7 linked regions of the Coturnix japonica genome follow. The protein of the gene in region 2 purifies or fractionates together with the protein of the main gene of each other region. This does not show direct contact. Links are inferred from orthologs where the notes say so. Each region holds a gene or a part of one and is shown on either strand. Other genes may lie near its edges. The genes, in order: KIF20A, FBXW11, HNRNPA2B1, RBX1, HNRNPA3, EEF2K and FAM120A.

Region 1 (2,852 bases), about 2.0 Mb from region 2:
CAGTGACTCCTTCAGGTTATTCAGTTTATCCTCATACAGTTCCTCCAGCATTTCCTTCTGTTCATCAATGTGTTGGCTACAAGGAAAGCAAACAACTATCTGCATCTGGATCTGGTAGCCTTTGATACCATAGCACACCCTAAACACAGGTTTTAAATCAGCCTCAGCTGTACCTCCACCATTGCTCCTTCTGCTGCATTCTCTCCTGCATCTCATTGCAGATCTCTGTACGGAGACGTATTTCTAGTTGTAGCTTCTCCTGCCTCTCCTGCACCAGCAGTTCTCGCGCAGCTTCCACTACATGCAACAAGTCCTGGAAGACAGAATCTCCCTTGCCCACATTGCACAGCACAATTACGACCTAAAGAAAACAAACTAGCTGATCCTGGATCTGTAAGACTGGGGTAATCTAGGTTTAGGATGGTTTTAGTCACTTGGAAAAATAAGCTGGTAGGCTTCTTCCCAGTTCCCTTCCCATGAGGTGGTTTAAAAACCACTCCAACTGGAGCTATCACCATAAGCAGCTTGCTATACTGCACTGCTCAAGGCTGCACATGCCTTTAATACCCTGATATGTTACAACTCAAATCTCAGTATTTCTTCCACCCCCCTCTTATCTTCCAGCTATTCCAGCTTCCCACTCGGAGTATCCAGAAAATCTGATTATTTTTCCTCAGTTTAGCCAACTGATTTAGTAATTCTCCAATCAAGATTTCCCTTATAGAGGAGAGATTATGGGTCTGCACCTGAGCTCTTACTGTCCTTGGTCCACAAATGGACAAGTGCTCTTAAGCACTCTTAAGCTTCAGATTTTGAGCAGCTATGGATGGAATATCTTCCAAAGATCCCTACTTTACAGTGTTCTAAGATCACATCTTTGAGGCTTTCTGTCATCGTTGCACTGAGTTCCAGGCCCCACCTTCCAGGTTAACGGTTAGACATATTCTTGATTTTCTATCAGTAAAAGTTGTAAAATAAATCACAACCCACCTCTCTCTCATAAACAGAGACATCTGCTTCATCTTCACTGTCCGTTTTCACTTCTTCCATCTCTGTAGCCTCTGTACCCTGGCTGGTTCGCCTGCTGTGCTCCTTGATAATTGACTGTATGGATGGAAGTCCCAGCTTCATGGGAGGGGCCTGAACAAGCTGAAAGGGAAAAGGCTATAATTACTGGTCCACAAAGGCTGGAGGGCTACTTAGCCTTTAAACATGGCACTTCACAGCATGCTGTCAAACTTTTCAGTTTAGCAGAGTTTGGAATTACTGTGGAGTTAACAATACACTGCAAAAACACAGGGAAGGAGTGCGTGCATTCTGAGGGAAAGGGACCCATTCCCATAGGAAGAAGCACCCTGAGCACATCACAACATTACTAAGTGTTACATACCTGACTGGCAATGGCTGAGAACTTGGCTACATACAGAGTTTCATCATATGTAGATGCACATTGATTAATGTTGACAATCATACAAGATCGCCCACGTCCAGTAAAAAAACCCTGGAACACACGGGTTAGCTTGCTGTCCCGGAAAGGAACCACAATCTGCTTCACCCTATGGGAAGAGACGACAGTGAGCCCATGGGAAAAGCAAGACAGCCTTCCCTACAACTTCCCCCCTCTGAAGTTCCAGATACTCACTTGGATTGCTGTTTCTGACGGAGGGCAGTGATGCAGCGACCCAAAGTATGGAGTGAAGTATTGATGTTGTTTGCTTCCTTCATTCGGTCCCCACTTATCTGGTCTTTGCAGCGCTCTGATCCCGCAAGGTCACACAGAGATAGCCTGAAAAAAACAGAGATGCTATCACCTGACCCACAAGACCTTCCTTAAGATACTTCCCAGATCCACAGCAACAGTTTAAAAAAGTCCACAGAATACCCACAAATCCTAGAAAGCATGAAACTCACTCGCTGATTTTGGGAACAATCTCACTGCCACCTCCTTGCAAATGTAGAATCCGAATGGAGAAGATACTGTGACTGTAAAAGAAGCACACAGGCATTTAAAAAGGGGAGAAAAAAAAAAAAAGAGACGTAATATTGAAAAGATTCTCAGAACTTTATATCTAAGAAATGTCCCCTCCCACTCCAGACCTGCGACTGGAGTTCTGATTCATGTGGGTGCTGGCAAAACTCTGGTTCTTCCGACCCAGTTTCAGGAGCCTCCAGGCTTCATCAGCATCACGGACATTGATCCAGTTCAGATCTGGAAAAGCAGGCATGCATTGGGCATGGCAGTTAGGAGATCGTAGCGTTTCCCTAACATTAATAAGCTTCACATCCTCTTTATCCAGGCATCTGAAGGGCCAGAGGACATTGTGCTCCCCAGCATATCACTGCTAAGCCACCCACTCCATCCTTAAGTCTCCCTCAGGTGAGATCCACCTAGAGGCCCACTATAAACATCTTTCAGGTAAATACCTTTCACGTAGGGGTTGCCAGTCTGGTCTTCACAGAGCCGCAGTGTCTGCCTCTTGCGGTTCTGACCAGGGAGGGCTGGTTCTAACAAGTCATAGATTAACTCATTGTAAATCTCAAAGAAAGAGACCCAGATGGAGAACTGCACATCTGCCGTGGTGCTGAGTGAAATACGATCCAGGTCAGCCCAGCGAGGGCCCGATTCTGGGGAAGAAAAGAAAATAAATCATGGCTGCAGTCTTTCAAAGGTCAGACCCGAGTAGTTCAGGAATAGACTGAAATGTAGTAACACCACCCCAGACTCAAAGCTATTCTAAATACCTCCTGCTATTTGGACATACGCAACTACCTTTGTCCAATTATACAGTATTAAATTCCCTGTGACAGCATCTTTACATGCAAGGACTGCCTATATACTTGATCTCAAGAAG
Region 2 (3,500 bases):
CTTGGTTGTTTTGCTGTAATGCCAAAAGCTTCCATCAAGGAGACTCCCCAAGTTAGAAGAGAGGACAAAAGTTGCTGTCTGGACATGCAGCCAAGGGTTCTTGCTGCTGTGTCCAGGTTTCTTCATTTCCTCTAAGTAGCAGCAGTATTCAAGTTTTTTGAACCCGTGTTCTTGGCAAGATGTTTATAGATTTTATTTTTATTTTTTTGACAGATTTGGGACAAAACAAGCTTGGAGTGTTTGAAAGTATTAACAGGACATACTGGCTCAGTTCTTTGTCTGCAGTATGATGAAAGGGTCATTGTAACTGGATCTTCAGATTCTACAGTGAGGTGAGTGTTAAGTTTTGGGGCAAAAAAAAAAACCTAAAAAAAAGTGAAATTGGGGTTGGGAATATTTGTAATAATCTTCAAATATCAGAAAACATCCCTCGTGTGAGTGTGATACCACTATTCCAAAAATAAGGTGTTTGCACGTGGGAAAGCATCATGTTCAGTCATTTTTTCCCCAGTCTGTCTCATGCTTTGTGGTGTTAAGCATTGTGAAGGAATGTGACCCGTATCATTCAAAGCACAACATGAAGTAGAATGGCTGATGCATCAAATACATGGTGAATACCTCATTTAGGTTTCTTACATCACCTTCTGACATACTTTAGTTATGACCTATAATGAAAGGAGGTTTTGTATGTGGAGCAACAAACACAAGACTTCAAATATGCATAATGTAGTTCCTTCATTTGGGATAAAATTCTTTTCTTTTGCAGGGTTTGGGATGTAAATACAGGTGAAGTTCTGAACACGTTGATTCACCACAATGAAGCAGTGCTTCATTTGAGGTTCAGTAATGGCTTAATGGTGACATGCTCAAAGGACAGATCCATTGCTGTCTGGGATATGGCATCACCTACTGACATCACCCTGCGCCGTGTCTTGGTTGGCCATCGTGCTGCTGTTAACGTGGTAGACTTCGATGACAAGTATATTGTGTCAGCATCAGGTGACAGGACCATTAAAGTAAGTTGGCTGAACTCTCCTGTGGGTCTGAATGCCTACTAAGCCAGAAAAGCTTCTGAAAGTTACAATTCAAATTGGAGTAGCCAAGGTTTTTGTAAACAGTTCTGTGCCTTTCTCCTTAGCATTCAGCTGGCTGCTTCCTCCTACTAGTTGTTAATGTCTTCTTGCTCATAACAAGTCTTGTAACGTTTTTGTTGTAACTGTTGTACAGCTCCAAAAAAGTAAAGCCTACTCTAATCTCAAGTTGGATTTGTTTGTTAAATGTGGCACATTTTGTGCCTTTTTCCAAACGTCAGTTTTTTTATTTCAATTGGCAGTCCTGTTCCAGACATGAAATTTATCAGCAGTTGCTTTTCCATTCCACACCTTCCCAGCTAAACCAGACTTTGCTGTGTTTAAAGAATTAAAATGCTGTATTTTGAAAAATTTACATACCAGAAAATTTGAGTTACCCAAAGTGTATCAATATAACAAAAGCGTTTCCACCCTTCCTTCTCTACCACCAGAGCTACCCTGGAATGTGCCAAAAAGCTCTTGGCAGTTCCATGTCTGAATATCTGCCAAGAAACCCACTGCACTTCTTTTGGAAAAGGAGCTACTTTACATGAGCCCTTTATGTTACAACTTCAATAACAGTTCATTAAAAAATGAACAAATTTCATCAAAAACATTAAAAGAAGAAGCAGCCACAGGCTTTAATAGGCCGTGGCTTTGGTCTTCTCTTAGAAGCAGATTGCTAGCAGTTAATTTGGTAAAAAAATACAGCTTATTTTTGCATATGAGGTAACATCCTCTCTTTTAAAGGATTACTAACTTACCAAGATTTAAGTGTCATCAGCCTTTCAAGGTCGTTTGGACCAGTATCACCTGCTACTTGAAAATATTTTACGTATGCCCTCTACTTCCAACCTCCCAGTCTTTCTCATTGACACTATGTACAATAGCAGAGCTGATGTCTCTTGTCATTGCTAGGCTCTGTAATGCCATCCTCCACTTACACCACGTGCCTCCTCTTTACCTGCAAAAACACTATGGAAGATTTCATTCTGCTGTCCAGCAGAAGTCAGCCTCAGGCTTCTGCTTATGAGTTTGTAACAGCTTCTGTTGGAAGTCAGAAACCTTTATTGAGCATGATTCTCATGTTTCGTAGGTCTGGAGTACAAGTACGTGCGAGTTTGTTCGTACGCTAAATGGGCACAAGCGTGGCATCGCATGCCTGCAGTACAGGGATCGACTGGTTGTCAGTGGATCTTCTGACAATACCATTAGGTGGGTGCCAGCAGGCTGTCAGTATGTATCTATGTACATTTACACATGATAACTCATGCAAACCATTTTCAGTATATCTTGCCATTGAAGCAGATGCTGTTCAACTAGTTAATATGTCACATCCATGTGAAAAAGTGAGACTGTGAGGTTCAGATGGAGGGAAACAAAACCCTCTATTCCTGTAGTTTATGACCTTGTTTTCTACTTGAGAGATGGAGACATTGGTCACTGGTTTTCATGCTTTCTGAACCTTTAGTAATTACTGATTTATGCAGGACAGAAAAGTATGTTAAGGTTTCTTAAAATAATCTAGCAAGTGTACAACCTTTACTTAATGTAATTTTGAATGTCTAGATTAGTTTTTATGTACTGCAGCTGCAATGCAGTTTTCTCTGAATTGCATACAAGGAAAATCTAGTTCTACCAGCTGCTCTTTTTTGCAAATTGTGGTATTTTCTGCAGGAACCCATTCAGTAGTATGCTGAAATCACTGTGTGTAAGGTAAAGGGATAGCCTTGAACCTGAAATGCTCAGGCTTTCTTCTGTTCTTTTAAGGTTATGGGACATTGAATGTGGTGCCTGTTTAAGGGTATTAGAAGGCCATGAAGAACTGGTCCGATGCATCAGGTTCGACAATAAGAGGATTGTTAGTGGAGCCTATGATGGGTATGTTTCTAAGAGCTATTTCAAAAGGTTCCAAACTGACTTGTGTATACAAATGTAGTTAGTTGGTCTTGAGTATAAACAACCCACTTGGGCCATCACAAAGACATCACTGTATTTGCTGCTTAAAAGAAATACAAAACTGCCCGTGTTTTATGGGATTCAGCTTTAGTAAATTAGTGAAGATAAATTATAACATTTTGCTCGATGCTGATAAATCAGCTGGAGGGAAGATCTGGAATATTCTGTCCATTGCTTTTAGAAGTTTCTGTGCTTACACTTGAAACAATGCTTTTAACCTTCTTATCTTTCTTTATAGCAAAATTAAAGTTTGGGACTTGCAAGCTGCTCTTGACCCCCGTGCCCCAGCAAGTACATTATGCTTGCGTACGTTAGTGGTATGTATAATTAATTAATTAATTTGAGGATTTGAGCAGTGTGTCCTAGGTGAAGCCATGATGTGTACAAAAACTGGGTTAGCAGCAGTGTTGAATGTGAAATGTTATGTAAGATGGAACCCCTGGTGTGGACCGTTATTGCCAGCCAGTCTTT
Region 3 (4,215 bases), on a different chromosome or scaffold from region 2:
AGACCTCCAATGAACAGCTTTCTCAACTGCTCCTTTTCCCTCTATCACAGAGAAGAGTAGGTTAATATAAAACTTTTTATGACTGCATTTGAAAAAGAACAGAGCTCCAAACAAAGCATCCTCACACCAAGGAACAAGAATCCATTCATACTATCTGATTCTATAACAGATATCATTTATTGTGAAGTACATGGGGATATACCCTGGAATATCTGTCAAAATTATCTCGGATCCAGCAGCACAAGGATTAGTAGTAAATGCATCATTGTACAGATGGGAAAAAATACAAACCCTTATTCTATAAAGCTTCACTTCATAGAATCTTTTGAACAGAATAGGGGAAAGGATGTTGCATTCAAGACTTGAATAAAGCTCCATGTTGGAAGCCAGGCTATCCATAATAACTGCATTTGCTTTTAAAGAGCAAACATGTACCAGACGTCGCAGATAAACAGAACAGCTTCAAGTTCACACATCACTCATCAACCATATACTGCCAGACCTGTATGTGCCCTGGCCAAAGCAAAAGTTAGGCATACGCACAGGCCAGGATATGGCAATATGTCCCTATCACTACACGAATGAAGAACACCATACAATATCCTAAATGCTGCCCCACGGGCTCCAAAAGCAGGCACTGCCTTACACGCGTTAGTTGCACGTCTCTAACCACAACCCCGGCCAGGGCCCAGCTACCTGTGTTAACTGCATTACACTGCAGTTACAACGTGCACCATCATAAACTACTTTAACTACAGTCCTTATTGATATTTGACGAAAACGCAATCCTGGCTCTCAATACAGAAACCAGAAGAAAAAGCAACGCAGCCCATCTTAGCAGCTCCCCAGGATCTTCAACCAGGAGCCAGGCGGGAAGCCCAGCACGGCGCTGCTCCTCCTTCAGCCCGCCCCGCCGCCCATGGACAGAGCGGGGAGGCTCCGCCATGTGGCGGCTCTCAGCAGAGCAGCCCCGCAGCCAGGGAGCAAAATGGCGCCCGGAGCCGCCGCCTGCAGGGCGGGAAAGCGATCCCCGCCGAGCGCCCAGCAGCGCCGGGCGAGCCCTGAGCGCAGCGCAGGATCCAGCTGCCGCTCCGCCACACGCACGGATCGGTTTGCAGCCTCCCTCCCTCCCCCGCTCCCGCTCCTCCCTCCCCCGCCGCTCTCGGCGCCGCCATTTTCCCCCTCCCCCTCCTGCCGCCATTACCGGCAACGGCGCGCCCCGGGCCGCGCTCCCACCGCTCTCCATCGTTGTGCCTAGAGAACAACCCAACTCAGAGCCACCTAGAGAGACACAACCCGCCCCTGCTTGAACAGCAGCACCCGCCGCCCCTCAACAACCCAGCACCGAGCACCGCTTCCAGAACCTTCCTCCCCCGCCGCTGCCCTCCCTCCCTCCCTCCCCCGCGCACAGCGGCCCAACAGCCGCAGCAGCTCTGGTAACCCTCAGCTCCACAAAAACACAACCTACGAGAACACAGAGAGCACTACACCCTTATAAACCGAGCTCCGCAGCGCTCCCCGCACGTACCATGTTCTTCATGGTGGCAGCCCCTGCCCGGCGCAGCGCTCGGCCCTCAGCAATGGCTGCCGCAGCTCTTACGTAATTTGAAATTCAGCTCCGCGCACTACGAGCGCCCTCCTCCTCCTCCTCCTCCTCCTGCTCTACCCGGCCGCACCTCCGGGCTTTAATTAAAAAAATAGCTCGGATTTTAGAGCCTAAATCGGTCCCGAGGGGCTGCGGCTCCGTGCGATACCCCTCTGTTTTTGGCACCTAATAAAAACTCATCGACGCCGTTACTAATGGCCGTCTCCGAAATGAGCCGAACGACTCGTCCTCGCCCGAGCTTATCCGCTTCGCCAGCCGCCGGAAACAGCCGAAAGAGGAACGCCAGCCCGTTCGGCTCGCTTCGGCGATTTCCGGAATCAGCCGACACCGACGAAACAGGCGATCGGCTCAAGTTCGGCAATTTCCGGAAAAAAAAGACGCAGAGCTCACCGACTCCCCCAACCCACTCGGCAATTTCCGACAGCGGAAGGGCTCTCTCATAGGTGCCCGAACAGATCCGAAAAGGCCCGAGCAGACCCGAAGCGGCCCGAGCGTCGCTGGCACAGCGCTCCTTCTTTTTTTTTCCCTCTCTCCGGAAATTGCCGATCGCTGCAGCCCGTAGTGCGGGGTTATAATTAGCCGCAGCGGCCCCGCACCCCACCACCCTCGGCGGGCGGGAGCGCGGTACAACACAACGCAGCTGCTCCCCCTCCACCCTCGGCCCAGGCGGGAGGCAGCGCTGACCTGGAGCTGTGCCCGGCGGACAGCGCTGGGCCCGGCCTCGTTCCGCCGGCAGCCACGCAGCGCTCGCCTCCCTCCCGCCCTCCCCTTTCCTCTCACACGCGGCGAGAAAGGGTGAGTGCTGCCGAGTGCTGCTGGGTGCTGCCGCCCTGCAGCAGCGACACGGCACCGGGGCTCCCGCTTTCTGTCCCCCTGCAGCCCCGCTCTGCTCTCCATTAACCGCCAATAAAGGCCTTTCCCCGGGCCCTCTCCCTCCTTCCCTCCCTGGCGGTGGCGGCCATGATGGCGGCTGCCTCCCGCGTCCCGCCGGCCTCCCTCACCCAGTCGCTTTCTCTGTCTCCGCGAGGCATCTTCCTCCTTTTGGACGCCTGGCGCGGTCCTGCGCTCGCCCCCCGTGGGACAGACGTCTTGGCCCCCTCCTGTGCTGGCGGCGACGACGGGAGGAGGTTGCGGCTGGCGCGTAGGCGGCGTCGTTCGCTCTGCCCCGTCAGCCGCCGGCGCGCTCAGCTCGGCCCAACCCGCCCCGCACCGCCCGTCCCGCCCCGCGCCGCTCCCCGCCCCCTCCCCTCCCCCCTCAGCCCCTCGGATGCCGCCGCTGCCGCCGCCGCTCAGAGCGCGCAGGGCGAGAGCCGGGAGGAGACGGGGGAGCGGCGCGGCCGAGCGGCACTGAAGTCTGTATCCTTCTTTTTCCCCTTCTTTCCTCGTCTCGGCGGCACTCCCCGCTCCCACGTTTACTCCCCGCCGACATCCGCGGGGATGGAGCGCGGGGTGCGGCCGATTTTCCCCCCCCCCCCCCACCACCACCAACCCCTATAGCGCGGCGGCCGCGGGAGGAGTGGGCATGGCGGGAGGGCCCCGCGGGAAGGAAGGAAGGAAGGGAGGAGGAAGGGAGGAGGGAGGGCGGGTGGGCGGCGGGGCCGGGCCGGGCAGACAAAGCCGCCCGCCAGCGCCCGGAGCGGCCTCCGCGGCGGGGAAACGTGGCGGGGCGGGGGGTGGCGGGCATGGCGAGGCGATGCCCCCCCTTCCTCCTCCTTCCCTCCCTCCTTTCCTCCTTCCCTCCCGGCGGCCCGCGGGGCTCCGTTCCTTATGGGTTGGGGGTGGGGGGTATCGGGATCGTTCTTGTGGTTTCTTTCCCCTTTCTCTTTCCGATGGGGACGCGAGGAGCTCTCCCGCTCGGCCCTTTCCGCCGCGCTCCCCCCACCCCCCCCCCTAGCGGGGGGCTGAGCCCTCGGGCCCTGCAGGGCCGTGTGCTGTGCCGTGCTCGGGCCTGTGTGCGATCCGAAGTTTTGTAGTTGGAACGGGGCAGGGATGATAACGTGCTTAAAGAGGTGGTCGGTGTGAGAGGTGTGGTGGTGAAGGGGATGGATGGTGTTGGACTCGCTTGCTTAGGTTAAACGTAGCGTGTGCAGCTTAGCCGAGCTCACGTCGGTGCAGGGCCTTTAATTCGTTCAAACTTGAGAATCGGAGGGCAGCGTTGTGTATTAAAAGAAATATTCGCAGTTTGGAAAGCGGTGGGTGCTCTGTTACACTCCAGACGTGGAGCTGCTCCCCGCCGGATCCACAGTTAACACGTCTAAAGCTATATTTGAGTTAACTGCTGGAATCTGAGCTCCTGTTCTGTTGGGTTGAAGGAAATAAGCATCCCTGATGGTCCTCCCCCTTTTCCCTACAAACGTCTCCGTGCCTTAGAAGGCCTTGGAAAAACCTTTTTTCCCCCCCATCTACCACTTCGTTACTATATATCCCGACTAGGTAAAGGTGTGTTACTGGGTTATGCCGGACAAAGCAGTAAGCTGCTTCTTGTCCTGGATTTAATCCATCCTGTAAATGTTCTATGCCGTGAATACATGGGGGTTGGAACAAGGACCATGTTGTATTGGGATGCCTTTCTTTGAGTAACGTCAACTTCCTTTTAATTGTCATGCATT
Region 4 (4,046 bases), on a different chromosome or scaffold from region 2:
TTGCACAAAGAAAATCTAAATACATTCTGGGCCCTTTCAGAAATGAACAAAAACCACTGAAAATCTACTCATCCCTTCTATGTGCCGAACATGAGCCATAGTGAGGGCCAGGGGAATCCTTTGTCCTTAGTATTAGCAGCCAAGTCGTAATGTATGTGCATTAGCAAGACTGCACGAAACCTTAACATTGTTATATCCTAACTTTTGGATGCTCGACTTCATAATGTTAACAATCTTCCATTAGCGTGGCTGGTGTTACTTATCACCATTGTAATGTTTTCCCTTTTAAGGTTTCTCCTCATCAGTGGGAGAGGGAGACATTCCTGCCCTGCACTTTATCAAACTGAATCTTGTGTTGTTCTTCCCTGCACAATCTAGTAATTTTTTCTCTATTTCCCATCACTTCACATCTTCGGTTTGAAAATCTAATTAAGATGTTGCTTAACATCATTAATGATCGTTAACAAGGAAGTAAGTAAATCCAGAGCCAAGGCTGAACTCAGAACACCAATTTAGATACCGCTTCTACTCTGTATACTGTCAATTTTGGTCCATCATTTGCAGTTTGGGCTTTTGATAGCATTGATTATGCCCTAACTAATAAGGTGTTATGCTTGAGCAACTCAAAAAGCAAAACAAAACAAAAACTAAGTTACCTGTGCTCTCTTCCTTTGAAGTTCTTCCTAACACGTCTATATTCTTTCAATTCCACCCAACCTCAATTCTTAACTGTAAAGCACTATGTCAGAGGTCCTCAGCACATGTCACAACCACTCCTCTCACCTGCTTGCCTTTAGTGCTACCATTCCTCTTCTAATGATCAAGAATAAAGTGAGCGATGGACAGGCAGCAGCTGGCTCAAAATAGAACACATCTGACTCAAAGCAAAGAAGTCAGCTTGCTTAATCCCCTTTCAGCCCTGCATGGTACACTGCACAGCCTCTTTTTCTTTTCCCCTGCTCTTTTATATTATCACATTGGCTCACTAACAGTAAGTTACCATCAGCTGTACTTGCAAGGGCTACTAAGAAGAAAGTGAAACAAAGCGACCACAAAGAAATCATGACTAGCCCTTGTCAGGTACTGAAGGTCTTGCTTTTTGAGGTACCACAATCCTCCCATTTTAGTAGTACAGGTGACTTCCTATCTGGGGGATGTTAAAAGGTGTTCTGTATCTTATCATTGAAAGAACATGGACAGTTACGGTGCCAACCATATATTGCCAAAGATTTGAGGGGAAAAAAAAATGGCTCTGTTCTTATTGCCAATCCTCAATTAGACCAAAGCCGGTGACTTTATATATGGATACCTATTTCACAGTAGAATTTTTTATACTTACTCCTACTACCACTTTGTTTTCCTAAATAGTAAGTGTATTTGTTAACAGGACTGTTGGGACCATACAGGGGGGAAAAAAAAGGTGAATTAGTACTAGCAATGCTTGGTGTTGGTTTAGGCATTAGATTATTCTCTTCATAGATAACAAACGGATTCTCTAGCTGGCCACAGAATTCCCCACACTATAACCCTAATTTAGGCAAAGTAGCTTTGGCAGAATGAGGAGTCAAAAATTCAGTGGCCTGAATCTTTTCTGGTCAGTCAGACACAGAAAGCAGAACTTGAGCACTACATAGAACAGAGTTTATAGTGTTACCGAAAGACTTCATTCTGAACTGAAAACCAGATTTGCTGAAATGCACCCTGAGCAGTGGAAATTTCAACTGTGAATCTTGTACATGTCAAAACTGTAAGCACGCTTCCCCATCATTTACTTACATAGATCCATAATATGGTTTCTGCAGATGGCACAGTTATCAACCACAATGTCCCACGCCCACAGAGCTACTGCATTCCACTAGAGTGAGGGGGGAAAAAAGAGAAACATAAATTTTATTCAACATATAACACATGGAAATCCTCATTATTCCTCAAGATCCTCTTTCTTTCTGAAATGATAAGGTTAGGATATTAAAAGACACACACCTTACAGCACCAGAGTAATTCTTTCTCAGATACCTCTCACACTCAGTGCCTCCTTCCAGTCTCAGAAACAATTGATACTAGTCCCACTCTCTTTTTTTTGCCATACAAATGCAAACATCTGCATTTCAATTCATAATCTGGAGGCAAGAATGCATCTCACGCCACATCCTCAGTTTGGAACTTCTCTTGTTTGTAGCTGTTTTCCCAGTAATCATCCCTCAGAGCAGCTGGGGCCAACAACCAGAATCACCTCTAACTTTGCCCCTCAGCGACTCCTGAATCATTTTCATTGCAAAAAATATACAATATCAAAAGTGCTCCCACAAAGTGCTCCTAACCACCTCCGGGCCTCGTTGAAGTGAACTTGGGATCTTTCACCACCATTCAGCTCGCAGCCACACTGGAGAGGGTAGGTCAAAGAGGGATATTATGGTTGTTAGGCCAAAGAGGGATATTATGGTTGTTTGGGGGAAGCAAAGCAAACCGGGATGACAAGACAGCATTTGTTGGTCACCTACGAGTTGATTTGTGAAGAATACAAAAAGAAGCAGCCACACAAATGCGTGCAAAGCTCCCTTCACATCACGTAGGGCCACTAAGACAACTGAGCCAAAGCAGCCGGGACTGAGGAGGCAACAGCAGCGCACCGACTCGCCCCTAAGCCCGGCATTACCCTCGGCTCTGGGCGGCGGGGCCCAGCCAGAACTAGCCCCGCCTCGCCTCTCTCCCTCCTCCTCCCCGCGTGGTCGCGCCCTCTGATTGGCCAACCTCCGTTCCACGCGCGGAGACCCGTCTCACCCATTGGCCCCGACACACGCCAATAGACTCCGCAAGCACCGCCCCCCCCTCCCCTCATACGGCGGTGCCGGTGCGGAAGCAACGCCCGGCTCCGTGAGGGGGCGCGGAAAGCGGCTCAGCGCCCCGACCCGCTCGCGGCCACCTGGCCGCTCCCGACCTCCCTCCTCCCGCTGGGACCGGCCGGGTAGAGCGCGCCACGCCAGCAGGTCTCACTTTCTTCACTTCGAAGCGCTTCTTGCCGGCGCCGCTGTTGGTGCCGCTGGGGGTGTCCACATCCATCGCAGCCGCCATTTTGGATGCGTGAATAGGCCGTTCCGCTCTGTGCGCATGCGCGGCGGAAGGGGCCGCAGGGAGGTGTGAGCGGAAGGTGTAGGCGGGGCTTCCGCCAGGGCCTGCCCTTACCCCCCCCCCCCCCCCCCCACACACACCCCTCCGTCCCCGGCAGAGCCTTTTTAAGGGAGGAGGTTGCCTTGCTCTTCAGCCCTTGCTCCCTTCCCAGCCCCTCAGGTGGGCTGAGCTGAGCTGCATATCCTTTGTACCATATCAGCCTCAGTGCTACCCCAGTGGTGTGGGATGTCTCTGGGGCGCTCAGGATGCACTCAGGAATGAAAATGTTCTGAAAGAAAGCAGGAATTCATGTGCTCCGAAACACTTTTTAGAGCAATACTTTATTGTACAGAGGTTATAAAAATGAAGTGCATTTTATAACTCCTTAAAGAACTGTAGGGCTGGCTGGCTGCCCTCCATTGCTGATGCCACTAAAAGTAATTGATTTGGCTAAGTTTGCCTTTGCTGTTGTGAGTGTCCAGACAGACAGCATCACAAATGGTACCTCATTTACCGTCTTTCCACATTGCCACAAAACTTCTCAGAGTTCATGAATATCATGGAACTTCAATACTCTGTAGCATCCCCAGCTGATCTGGAGTGCTCAGAGAAAATTTGAATTCTAAGAACAGAGCCAGAGGGGTAGATTAAGCAATATATCCCATAGTTTTTTGGCCCAGATCATGGTTGGTTTCTGCATGAACCCAATCCCTCTGCCTCTGTGTGTTTTCTAGATGATGGTCACATTATATTCCCATGTAGTGCCATTGTTTTTTCAATCTGTTACTAAAACCTCAGGTGAGAAATGAAGCCTCCCGCTCCCCATAATCTGACTAAGATGAACAGATGAGATTCAGAGAGAGGAACGAGTTGCAGCATTTCATGGGATGGTGACTAATTGCTGCTCTTTCTTTCTCATGGTATTGCACCTCAAGCTG
Region 5 (3,500 bases), on a different chromosome or scaffold from region 2:
TTCCACATCACAAACAACAGCTAAGCTACCCCACCCACCTACAAAGCGGTCACTTACACACTTCATCTCTTAAAAGGTTGCATACAGATCTTGTTCATAAAGTTTATTATGACACTATTTTTCAAAGTTAACATTGTTGTCACAGTACAGCTACAAGAGGCCCTGTTAAAAAGAACACTGTCAATACATTCTAAAACTTTTAGAAATACCATATCCATTTTCAGAAGGGACATCAACCCCATTCTCCAGTTGTCCCTGCAACCAGATGCAGGCCCCAGTTACAAATCTACACGACTTCTAGGTGTAGCAACGTACAAAGCAAGTCAGCAGTTGGGTGGCTCACTCCCTAGTGAGATGTTTTAGTTGTTAATGTGTTTTCAAACTCCAAGTGGGTTGGTTAAAAAAATGCCTTTATTGAAATACAACCTTCCCCCACCCACCCTCCCCACAAGCCCAAATTACGTACAACAACAAAATGTTCACTGCATCAGCAATTCTTGCTTTTAAGTTAGAGATAGTTTAAAACTCCACAGAAAAGAATAAGCAGACTTTGATATCCAGTTTGGAGGCTAACATCTTTGACAGTGATTCCTTGTTTTAGTGTACTGCAGTCTAAATACACTCAATAACAGTGTTCAAATAACATTGTTTAATTATTTTTTTTTTCCAAGCAACACACTCATTTTGCTAATAACTTCTTAAAATTATATTATTAATATGACTGATTATGCCTTGAGCCATTTCATACATCTTTGCAGATTCATTCCTACACTGGAATCGCATTTACCTTATACTGCACATTGACCCAGAAGTGAAACAGGTGTAATTTCCAATATCACATATTGTCAAGTGTCTGAACATTTCTTCTATTGACTGTGTCCCTACTCTTCTGAGTCTCAATTGTCAGAAAGCACTGTCCTGGCAATAGTTGAGAGAGAAGTGACATCAGCTGAGAAAAGCAGAGATTGTAGTGCCTTAATTTGGAGTTCAGAAATGAGAATTGAGTACAATTTCTAGCCAGATGTGCTGATAAGATTTGCTACTCCAGTGCATCAAATCAAACTGTAAAATACTATCATTCTACCTCCTGTGGTCAGGTAAAATATAACTAGATTGTGTTTTGTTTCATCCTCAAGCTCTTACCTGAGCTTAGATATTCGTAAGGGAAAAAGCTCTATGCTACTTAGAGCCCATCGTGAATGGGCTTTTGGAACGCCATTACCTGGGACTGTCAGTGATTACACCTGTGCTACCCTTGGCTCCCAGTCAGATGAATGTGTCCAGAAAATTGCCTAGGGTGCATGCAAGAAAGTATATAGCCATTAAGTTATTTAGGAACATACCTATTACTCTCACTATGATGCCTCATTTAATCGAAACAGCACAGTCTGGTGTGAGGGAGAGGGGAAAGGGGAGAAAGGAAGGGGATGAAAATTCCAAGCCACCCTCCCCAAAGTATAGTTTTATTGAAACAGAATCATTGTATATCCCAAGGAAACAGGCACTTGATTCCCACCCCACCTTAACTTCTCGGGAATTACAATAAATAAAAAGGTAAAAAGCAAGTTTCTTTTTCTCTTCACCCAGAACTTCAGCAACTGCAGTTATCCCTTATACATCTCAGATGAGACTGGACACAGCTTGAATGTGACTAAAGTTGGTCTTGTTAAAATATTTATCATGCCTTATTTTCTTGAAGCGCTACTACTAATACAGAACTACAAATTAAAAAAATATGCACAAACCAAAAAGTAATTTGAAATTTTCATTTGAAGGTAAAGCTTAGTTCTATAATTCACAAACACTAATTTGAGTAACTCAATCCTAGTTATACATCTAAACAAACTATAATGCAACATACAGATGTTCTCCCTCTGTATGCCTATGTAACTCTTATCAATGACAGTTACATATATACACTGAGACTAGACCCCTTAAGACTGCAAATCAATAGGTGTTTCTATTGTTAACTTTAAATTAATACAAAATAGTAATTGAGAAATGCATTAATCTTCTCTACTAACAAGGAAACACCCTAAACTACATTTTATTTCTGTTATAGAGTTCTCTGTACCAAATGTGGAAGAACTGAACTACACAAATATTGAAAAGTTAAAAATTCCTTAATTTGTTTATTCCTGGTACCACTACCACAATTTACAGGGCAATATACCTGATGTAATGGGAAAATAAAAAGAAAAAAGAAAGACAAAGCTACAACAGATAAAGACCTCAGGAATGTACATCTAATCGACACTACATTGCATTAATCAATAGCTGCACTTTTTGCAAACTGTGGCTATGACAGTCCTGAACAAGAAGGGTTTCCTGTTTAAGCTGCAGTAACTTTTCTGACTATGGATCATCGCTCCTTCTGTGGCAGATTTTACAGTTCCTCTAATGCATTTGGGACGACTGTCTCAAAGTAACCTGCAGCTTTCCTGACAACTCCTCGCTCTCTCTCCTGCTAAGAACTGTAGCCTGTTGAATACAGGATAAGAAAATTATTACTCTCAGTGAACAGTTGTACATTATTCATCATCATTATAAATATTCATTACACTTACCCTTTTTCTGGTAGCATTTTTAGAATCTTCTACCACCATAGCCCCCACTTCCACTTCCAGATCCATAACCACCTGCACAAAAAACAAAACCCAGCGCATATTGAAACATAAGTGATACCAAGGAAATGTAAACAAAGGGGTTTTTTTTTGGTACAGAAATATATTTACCACCGTAGGGACTGCCTGAACTTCTACCACCAAAGCTGCCACCACCCTTCATGGGACCATAATTGGACTGCTGCTGTCCACTGTAGTTACCAAAGTCATTGTAGTTTCCACTGCCACCGTAATTACCTGAAATAAATTCACAAAGTTCGTGAAACTGAGACATTCGGTGTAAACTAGCAAAAAGTAAAGTAAAGCTACTTGTAAAGTAGCAATTTGAAATTAACATGGAAGGCCAAAGTTAATGCCTCCCAACTCAAAAAAAACTCTGCTTTCACCATCATTCTTCCACTATTCAGTGCTCTGTACGTGACATAAACTACAAGCCAAAAGCAATTTTTATTTGCTGTAACAAGTGATAAAACTGTAATGAGCACATAGATACACCAGAAGGTATTGGTAAGCGTGCAGTAGATTTTGCTGCTTAACCTCCTAAACTCACACTGGGTCCTTGCATGTTCTTACTGCTTCTTCCCCCCAAAATTCTACTAAAGAACCTAGCATGTTTTAGTGTTTGTGGTACATCCTGACAAGAAACACATCATTAAAGGCCTCTACTGAAGTGATCATAGATTCAGAAATTAATCATATCATTTCAAAGCTCCTGCAAAGATATCAATGCTGGCAACACAGAGTAAGAATACGGCTGAACTGATAACAGGACACATCTAGACTTTCATTTAATGCCTTCCACGCCATCAAGGGTTTACCCTTGCTAATGCTGTAAAACAGCCATGTAGTAATGTGGTTCCTGGTTATTTCAAAAGG
Region 6 (3,980 bases), on a different chromosome or scaffold from region 2:
GTTTTGCACTTTTTTAAGGAGACACAGCACTGACTCGCACAGACTGTGTGCACCCTCTGCACAACTGCTCCACGGAACATCCCCAGCTCCGCAACGCTGAGAGGCTCCAGTGCAACACATTTAGTTTAAATTAAATACAGAATAAACGTAAACAGCACCAACACTGTAAGTAATTACAGCCAAAGTCCGTCACCGAGACACGTTTCAGTCACACATCTTTCCAAACTGACCGCCGAACTGACCGAGGAGCTGCAAAGGGAGCACAGGGCACAGCCCGCAGTGTTATCGATGGACGAAAGCGGGGCAGGGAGTCAGGGCAGCAGCTCGGGGCTGCGGGGAGCTGAGGGACAGCGGGGGAAGCACGAGGACCGACCGCTCACGGCTGTGAATCACACCTGGGGGCTGCACAGAGCTCAGGTGGTGTGAATTTCCTTTGTGAACTGCTCGTGTCGCTGCGTATGAAGGAAAATAAAAGGGAACGTGTAGCTCCGTGCGGTGCCTCCCGACCGCCATCCCTGCCCCGGGGCGCGGGGGGGGAGCAGCCGGGAGAGCAGCGGGAGTGGGCGGGAGGGAGGCGGGGCGGAGCGGGGGCCGCAGCCGGCGGGGCGGGCGGACGCGTGTGTGTCCCCGGCTGCGTCCCGCGGTTACAGGGCGGCGGTGCGGGGCGCGGTGCCGGGCGGTGCCATCAGCTGGGGGAGCCGGGAGCTGCCGGCCGCGAAAAGGAGCCGCTGCCGCGGCGGGACAAAACTTGTTGGCAGCGGTGGGATTCGAACCCACGCCCCCGAAGAGACTGGAGCCTAAATCCAGCGCCTTAGACCACTCGGCCACGCTACCGCCTGGTGGTTGTGCGGCCCGCGAGGCCCCTTTCAGCGGGCGGAGCCGCTCTGCTGCCCGCGGATCGCGGCTCTTCCCGCCGTTCCGTGCTCGGACGCGGCACCGTGTGTCCGCTCCGCTCCTGCCGTTGGGCAGCGCTGCAGGCTGGGTGTCCCCGCCCTCCGTCGCAGCGGGTCGGTGCTGCCGAACGCTCCGCCTCGTCCCGGCCCCGCGCACCGTGAGGTGGCGCCCGCTGCCCGGCGGCTGCACGCGGCGCTGGGCCCGGCCCGAGCTGGGACACGGCAGCTGTTGGGACGCAATGCTGCGCCTCAGTGCGGGGGGAACCGAGCGGAGATGGGTGTTGTGTGGGCCGGAACCTCACCGTAATCTTAATACATGTTTTTATTAACCCAGCATCTACTGACATTAATTCCCATCTAACACATACAAGGAAAAGGAGTTGGTTCAATGTTTTCACAGCTGCTGCCTCGAGGAAGAAGCTGAGCTGCGGCCGTGCTTCACGAATGGAGCAATGAGCGGCTGTGAGTGTTTGCATTGGAACCCGGTGCACGTTGTCGTGTTTCTTACGGGGAACCGAGCGCAGCGCGGATCGTTCGTTCCCTGCGGGCCGGGCAGCGCCGCCGCCTCCAGCCTGAGATCGGGGCGCGCTGTGTCACACACACACCAACAACCCGCGGGCAGCTCCTCCCTGTACAACCCTCAGGGCGCCACGGGGCGGCTCGGTCAGCGCGGGGGGCGGGATCCAACGCAGCCCTGCCCCGCTCTGCCCGGCCCTGCCCCGCTCCACAGGCGGCTCCGGGCGCGGCCGGGTCGGTCCGTTGAGGCTCCGCGGTCCCGGTAAGTGCTTCGTGTGGCGGGGCCGTCAGGGCGGGAGCTGTGGGGAGCGGCGGCCATTCGGAACGGCGGCCATTCCGCCGGGAATCCCTGAACGCGGCGCGGTTGTTTCCTCGGGGTTGTTCAGCCCAGAACGTGGAGCCCAATGAAACAGCAGCGGTTCGTGGCAGCGGAAGGGCGTTCGTGAGTCCCATGGCGAGCAACTGCTCTGCCCGTCCCCGCGGGCTCCTTGGCTGGCGCTGCCTCCTTGGGGCGCTCAGATCGACCGGCTGAACCCGTTTGTCATCGGTGGGAAGGAGGGAATGGCTGCGGGCTGCTGGGCGCTTGCCCGATGCAGCCCGTGCCGTGCTGCCCAATGCAGCCCGTGCTGTGCTGCCCGATGCAGCCTGTGCTGTGCTGCCCGATGCAGCCTGTGCTGTGCTGCCCGATGCAGCCCGTGCCGTGCTGCCCAATGCAGCCCGTGCTGTGCTCGCCGCGATGCAGCCTGTGCTGTTGCTGCCCGATGCAGCCTTGTCTGCTTGCCCATGCAGCCTGTGCTGTCTGCCGATGCAGCCTGTGCTGGTGCTGCCCGATGCGCCCGTGCTGTGCTGGCCCGATTGCCAGCCCGTGCTGTGCTGCCCGATGCAGCCTGTGCTGTGCTGCCCGATGCAGCCTGTGCTGTGCTGCCCGATGCCCTCCCGCTGTCTGCAGCCCTCAGGTCTTTGGGCTGAGTTACAGCACGTCCATGAGCTGCTGGGGTGTCACTCAGGGATTGTGCTGTACCAGCTGCTCCATCACAGCAGCTGCCCTGCAGAACTAAGCAGTGTTTTGGCAGCGCTCTGATGTGAATTTTCCCCTCTGGTTGTACACGTGCACTGTGTTTGATCACATCAAGTGTTGTCCTTGCTGCTCACCTCCCGGTGCTGGTGCTGTGACTCTTGGTTGTAATGGTGAGAGAAAGGAAAAAATAATTGAGACAAACGTTGGAAAAAGCCTGAAATTAGTAGGGATGTGATTGGATTTAATAACTGTTTGTATTTGACGTTTTCTTCTTTAATTATGTAGCACAAGGCTGATTTTTATAGGAAAAGTGGGTCGTTGTGCTCTTCTTTGCTGCTTATCCCGAGGAAAGCTCCTGCCGTGGACACCAGAGGCTGAACAACAGGAGCACAGCAGCAGTAACAGCTGCTGCGTGGTTTGGATTTGTGCTGTAATGCAGCAGTGCAGGGTGTAAGCCTTGGAATGGAGCTCAGGCTTTTTTGTAAGGCTTCTTTGCCCTGTGCTTGGAAGCAGCTGGCATTAGTCTGGCTGTTCATGTTGTCCTTAGTATCTCAACATAGCCCTGTGGATAAATGCCTGGTAGGATGAGTGGAATTGAGCAGGAGTGAAGGCACTTGTATTGAGGACACCTAGAGCCTGGGGTGAAGGGAAGCAGTGCAAAGCCTGGGCATCGTATGCCCTGGGAAGCAGATTTCCTGTACCAGCACGTGAGTGTGGCTGCCTGGCAGCGTGTGCTGCAGGTGATGGATGGAATTGAGCCCTTCCACACAAGGTTCTGTGCTGCAGAACTGCAGCTGCTGGGCACAGCGCTGTGCTGAGATGGCTGGGGTGGAACCTGAGCGCCAGGAAAAAACACCCTTATGATTCACCACACCTTCTTTGCATTACGTGCCTGTTGCACCAGTGGAGCTGTAGATCCCGAGTGCTCCCACTGAGCAATGGCAGTAATGTGGAAGGGCTGTGTGGGAAGGTGCTGCAGGGCGGCTCCTCTGGTTCTGTTGTGGAACTGCCTGTGGTCTCTAACGCTGCTTCATATGTCAGAAGGCCTTATCAAAATATACCAAGAATGTCACCTCCTGGACTTAGTGCTCTGCTGTTGTTGCATATATGATTCTATTTTTTTATCTTTTAAACTTTCATTTTGCTTAGTTCACTTTGGCCCCAGGGGTAACCAAACCTTCCCTGTTCTGTTCCCCTGCAGTCCAGGGAGTTACTAAAAAGCTGAGGTTTCTGAGCTGTCTCTTTTTGTTAAGCACAAGCTCCAGGACAGCATTTTTTCATTGAACCTCCATGTGATGGAAATAGCCCAGCTGTAATTCTAGCTGCTGCCTGACCTGCACGAGGCAGAGGATGAACTTTAGGACCATGGCGCTGGCTGCAGCCCTGTGCCCAGCTCCAATGGTGAAAGGCTCTATTCTCCCCACAGCGTTTTTGGAAGTGTGCTTCAACTCTTCTGCTTCACTGACTGCAGTTATCTGGATTGTTAAAATAATGCAAATCAAACCATCTTCTGCTCCACTGACTGCAGTTATCTGGGCTGTTAAAATAATGCA
Region 7 (3,500 bases), on a different chromosome or scaffold from region 2:
TATTCACGCTGCCTAAAAACACCAGTTGGAAGGTTTGGTGCAAGGATCTGAAACAGTACTGGGGGGGGATTCAGTGTGAAAAATAACATTAAGAGAAGGCCTGGCCAAACAACTGCAACTGGGGATTGTGTAAGTAATGTTGCTTTAGATGCGGGTAAAGCATTTTATGCTTTCTTTTTCAGAAACAAAACATGAAAAGACCTTCCAGCTCTCTTAAAATAGCAGCAATGTTCTGTATTTTCAGTATATGTGCATCCAACTATGCTCAGTTTTTCTTGGAAAACTACTCATTCCTATTGGTAAAGGTGTCAAGAATCAATACCTTTAAAAGCTTACTCAACATTCTCTTTTTTTCTGGCATCAGTGACCTCAACAAGAAACTTCTCTTAAGAACAAACCTCATCCTTTTCACCATCAATGTGGCTTCCTTTAGTGTTGTTCTTACATTGATGATATTCCCAAATAAACTCTCCAGTAAAGGGATGAGATACAGGGAAGCACTACAGCACTCTGTATGCTCAAAAGCCTTTATAATCAACATAAGCCAGATAAAATGCATAAACTGGTGGAAGCTGTAAACAGCTGTAGGTGTATATTTACACAGAAGTTACTAGCATGCTTCGACCTTTTTGTATCACTTTAGGTTACATAAAGATCTCTATTTTATCTGCACTATTAGATATATGGTTGAATTACTACAAAAAAGAGTTTATCTTGTATACAGACAACACTAAGTTAGCTATAAAGGATGTGTGAAAAGTTTCTCTATATGTTTAACAACAGCATAACACAGAACATCTTTGTGTGCCAATTTCTAAAGCATCTCAAAACCGTTCAAGGAGGAACCTGTCAACATTTTTTCTGGCACACTTGAGGTCCGCCAGTGAAATATTAAAAAACATTTCAGGTAGTAGATGAATAAAACCAAAAAGCAGTACTGATTCATTTGATTTATATTGTGACAGTCTCTAGATTCATTTCTTTTTTCTGCTAGGAGAAAATTCCCAACATTCAGGTGTTTAATTAGTTTCTTCTCATTTTGAGACAGGAAACGTCCAGCAGTATTTAAATGTACTAAGAGTTTACGGCTATACAAACTCTGAAACAGAGCTGCAATGGTCTTCACAGTTCCCTTGTTGCACTTTTCTTTGATAAACATGGGAAGTACAAGAACATGACAGCAATAGAAGGAAACCCAAACCTTTCCTTCTGTGCATTTCAAATTCCAGTCTACTGTCCTTATTGGCCTGAAATGGATTTTTTAAGACTAATGCAAATGACCAGCAGTGTGGACAGTGCCCTTCTGCTGTACAAGTATGTACAGTGAATGGGCCAGACGTACAGGAACCGGTACTAAATGCTTCGAACACTACAGTGGAAGAGGATTCATTGTTTTCTTCTGGGACTCTTCTGTTTGCACTCAGAAGGAACAATGAGGAGAACTCATCTCTTTTGGAACTCAAGTAAGTCAAACACAGGGCTGTGCAGAACACAGCTGCTCCACTGCTGTGATTCCTTCCACTACTTACTTTGGCAAGAAGCTGTCCCATTGCTTTTCAAGATGTTCCTATGTGGCCACGGATTTAAGACTTTTTTCTTCTTCCCACCCCCCCCAAACCCAACATACTGCAGAGAAAGCGGCCTAAGCTGTGTGGAAGTGCTTGCAGCTTACCTGGGATCTCAAGAATTGTACATAAAATAAATCAGTGACCAAAGAACTCATAGCATCATCAAGTTCTACAATTGCATTTTATGATTCAACAAAAGGGATTTATCACAGATGCTGTGTCTTTATTGGGGTTGGCTACTAAGGACAGGAAGGATTATATTATGAGGGAAAACAATCTAATTACTGTTTAATACTGAAACACCAAAGCACATGTCACACTCTAGAAATGGGCAATTAATACATACACACACGCACAAACATGGGTATGTAAAAGTATCAAAATAAAATACTAAAGTCAAAAGAAGTTGGTTTGTTTGTCTTTTTAAAATAAACAGTAGTAACAGTCACCTCATACCTACAGCAACAATATGTCAGCCCAGATCAGTGGTTAAAAATCAAGTGAAAAAAGTGCTAGAAACACTAAAATCAGACCAAAACTCAAAACTTAAAACAGGATGTAAAAGTACAAAATTATTTAGCCAGATACATAAGTGCAATTATCTTTACCAAAAGGTTATTTTATAGCACATAGTTTTAAAATGTCATACCTTGGTTAGGACATGAAAGATGTAGGGATACATTAACCCCTTCTTGTGCCTGTGTTCTGCCACTCTTAATACTTCAGGTGCTACTGGAGGTAATGGAGGGGTAGTAATATCCATGTGGTTTCTGGTGGGCATTGACAACAGGCATGGGATCTGTGGATTACTGGTTTGATTCCCTTTGACATCGGCTGCCTGACTTCCTGAAGAAGCACTAGAGGAACCTTCTGCCTATAACAGAACACACAACATCAAGCGCTTTTTAATGCATACAGAAGATCAGCCAATGGGGAAATAGTATTTTAAGAGTACATTTAAGCACACAATAAAAGAGGACGTTACTATAAGACTATATTTTGGAGTTGGTAGACCAGACTTTCAATTTAGGAAAGTGATAGTATATAGAATAAATGGTTAAAGCTTGTGGTACAGAATGCATTGTAGTGTGTACTCAAGAGATGGAACTGCCTTCTGCTACTGAGGGCTGAAGAAGTGGTTTGATATTCAAGAAAAGCATGTAAGTAAAACAAATTAAATTGGTTGCACTCAAGTCGGACTGCATGCATACATCTCCGGGAAAGTTGAATCACTGCTTACACAGCCCTAATTCTGCATGTACAAAGAGGCAGGCAGCTGTGCCCTGCAGCACGTCCCACCCGGCCATCACCCAGCTGGGGGAGCAGTGCCCTGCCAGCCGCCCCCATATCTGCTCTGCAGGGCAGCACTGTGCACATAGGGCTGCAGCCTGGGTGTGCCGGGCTCTGTGCATGGCCATGGCACAGACAAGAAAGGAATGCAATAGGTCACATTAGCATTTGCATATGGTGACTAATCCACAGGCAGATACAGTTATCGTGCGGGGCGTAGTCTGCAAAAATAATAAGCACCGATGGATGAAATCATCAGCTTGATATTTTAAGCACGAAGCCAAAATTTACTGGAATTTCTATACGAAAGGTACAGGGAAAATGCTTTGTTCTTCCACAGCACAAGTTATTTAGGATTGTTTTCTTCTTTGCTTTGATTTATTTAATTGTTTTTGAAACAAAAGCAATGGCTGGAGCACAGCTCCATCACAAAAATGCACAAGTACTGCATGCAAATGATCACAACATTCTAAGAACAGCTCAAAGTCATGAAACAGATCATCACGCTTTTCATTTGACAATGATTTTGTATCTGGAAGAAAATAAATAAATCAGATAATGTTAAGTCTTTAATAATGGTTTAATCATCCCACCTTCACTTAATTAAATAGCAATACATTGTAGCTAGTCCCATGGAGTTAT

What was found.
Region 1: the proteins of FBXW11 (region 2) and KIF20A purify together in Homo sapiens (affinity purification with mass spectrometry; 3 studies listed by BioGRID and IntAct, with this or other methods). This does not show direct contact. The link is inferred for Coturnix japonica from reciprocal best matches to the Homo sapiens genes FBXW11 and KIF20A.
Region 3: the proteins of FBXW11 (region 2) and HNRNPA2B1 purify together in Homo sapiens (affinity purification with mass spectrometry; 3 studies listed by BioGRID and IntAct, with this or other methods). This does not show direct contact. The link is inferred for Coturnix japonica from reciprocal best matches to the Homo sapiens genes FBXW11 and HNRNPA2B1.
Region 4: the proteins of FBXW11 (region 2) and RBX1 purify together in Homo sapiens (affinity purification with western blotting; 4 studies listed by BioGRID, with this or other methods). This does not show direct contact. The link is inferred for Coturnix japonica from reciprocal best matches to the Homo sapiens genes FBXW11 and RBX1.
Region 5: the proteins of FBXW11 (region 2) and HNRNPA3 purify together in Homo sapiens (affinity purification with mass spectrometry; 3 studies listed by BioGRID and IntAct, with this or other methods). This does not show direct contact. The link is inferred for Coturnix japonica from reciprocal best matches to the Homo sapiens genes FBXW11 and HNRNPA3.
Region 6: the proteins of FBXW11 (region 2) and EEF2K purify together in Homo sapiens (affinity purification with mass spectrometry; 7 studies listed by BioGRID and IntAct, with this or other methods). This does not show direct contact. The link is inferred for Coturnix japonica from reciprocal best matches to the Homo sapiens genes FBXW11 and EEF2K.
Region 7: the proteins of FBXW11 (region 2) and FAM120A purify together in Homo sapiens (affinity purification with mass spectrometry; 3 studies listed by BioGRID and IntAct, with this or other methods). This does not show direct contact. The link is inferred for Coturnix japonica from reciprocal best matches to the Homo sapiens genes FBXW11 and FAM120A.

Annotation. Positions count from the first base shown.
Region 1 is NC_029528.1:11,874,609-11,877,460, forward strand, and holds part of KIF20A (kinesin-like protein KIF20A), read right to left. Parts: intron 2,626-2,852; coding exon 2,425-2,625; intron 2,210-2,424; coding exon 2,098-2,209; intron 1,984-2,097; coding exon 1,912-1,983; intron 1,787-1,911; coding exon 1,643-1,786; intron 1,557-1,642; coding exon 1,391-1,556; intron 1,150-1,390; coding exon 991-1,149; intron 314-990; coding exon 174-313; intron 77-173; coding exon 1-76. UniProt on the Homo sapiens protein: Mitotic kinesin required for chromosome passenger complex (CPC)-mediated cytokinesis. Following phosphorylation by PLK1, involved in recruitment of PLK1 to the central spindle. Interacts with guanosine triphosphate (GTP)-bound forms of RAB6A and RAB6B.
Region 2 is NC_029528.1:13,892,016-13,895,515, reverse strand, and holds part of FBXW11 (F-box/WD repeat-containing protein 11), read left to right. Parts: intron 1-213; coding exon 214-332; intron 333-766; coding exon 767-1,016; intron 1,017-2,166; coding exon 2,167-2,285; intron 2,286-2,840; coding exon 2,841-2,951; intron 2,952-3,267; coding exon 3,268-3,346; intron 3,347-3,500.
Region 3 is NC_029517.1:29,451,844-29,456,058, forward strand, and holds the start of HNRNPA2B1 (heterogeneous nuclear ribonucleoproteins A2/B1), read right to left. Parts: upstream 2,801-4,215; 5' UTR 2,638-2,800; coding exon 2,608-2,637; intron 2,402-2,607; exon of another isoform or gene 2,181-2,401; intron 1,918-2,180; exon of another isoform or gene 1,541-1,917; coding exon of another isoform or gene 1,529-1,540; intron 42-1,528; coding exon 1-41. UniProt on the Homo sapiens protein: Heterogeneous nuclear ribonucleoprotein (hnRNP) that associates with nascent pre-mRNAs, packaging them into hnRNP particles.
Region 4 is NC_029516.1:45,482,598-45,486,643, forward strand, and holds the start of RBX1 (E3 ubiquitin-protein ligase RBX1), read right to left. Parts: upstream 2,801-4,046; 5' UTR 2,786-2,800; coding exon 2,657-2,785; intron 1,856-2,656; coding exon 1,777-1,855; intron 1-1,776. UniProt on the Homo sapiens protein: E3 ubiquitin ligase component of multiple cullin-RING-based E3 ubiquitin-protein ligase (CRLs) complexes which mediate the ubiquitination and subsequent proteasomal degradation of target proteins, including proteins involved in cell cycle progression, signal transduction, transcription and transcription-coupled nucleotide excision repair.
Region 5 is NC_029522.1:14,084,638-14,088,137, forward strand, and holds part of HNRNPA3 (heterogeneous nuclear ribonucleoprotein A3), read right to left. Parts: intron 2,862-3,500; coding exon 2,736-2,861; intron 2,640-2,735; coding exon 2,587-2,639; 3' UTR 2,568-2,586; intron 2,482-2,567; exon of another isoform or gene 89-2,481; intron 1-88. UniProt on the Homo sapiens protein: Plays a role in cytoplasmic trafficking of RNA. Binds to the cis-acting response element, A2RE. May be involved in pre-mRNA splicing.
Region 6 is NC_029529.1:8,304,339-8,308,318, forward strand, and holds the start of EEF2K (eukaryotic elongation factor 2 kinase), read left to right. Parts: upstream 1-1,180; 5' UTR 1,181-1,345; coding exon 1,346-1,355; intron 1,356-1,542; exon of another isoform or gene 1,543-1,671; intron 1,672-3,980. Other genes in the region: putative short-chain dehydrogenase/reductase family 42E member 2, read left to right, coding at 1-33. UniProt on the Homo sapiens protein: Threonine kinase that regulates protein synthesis by controlling the rate of peptide chain elongation.
Region 7 is NC_029527.1:4,466,889-4,470,388, forward strand, and holds part of FAM120A (constitutive coactivator of PPAR-gamma-like protein 1), read right to left. Parts: intron 2,443-3,500; coding exon 2,218-2,442; intron 1-2,217. UniProt on the Homo sapiens protein: Component of the oxidative stress-induced survival signaling. May regulate the activation of SRC family protein kinases. May act as a scaffolding protein enabling SRC family protein kinases to phosphorylate and activate PI3-kinase.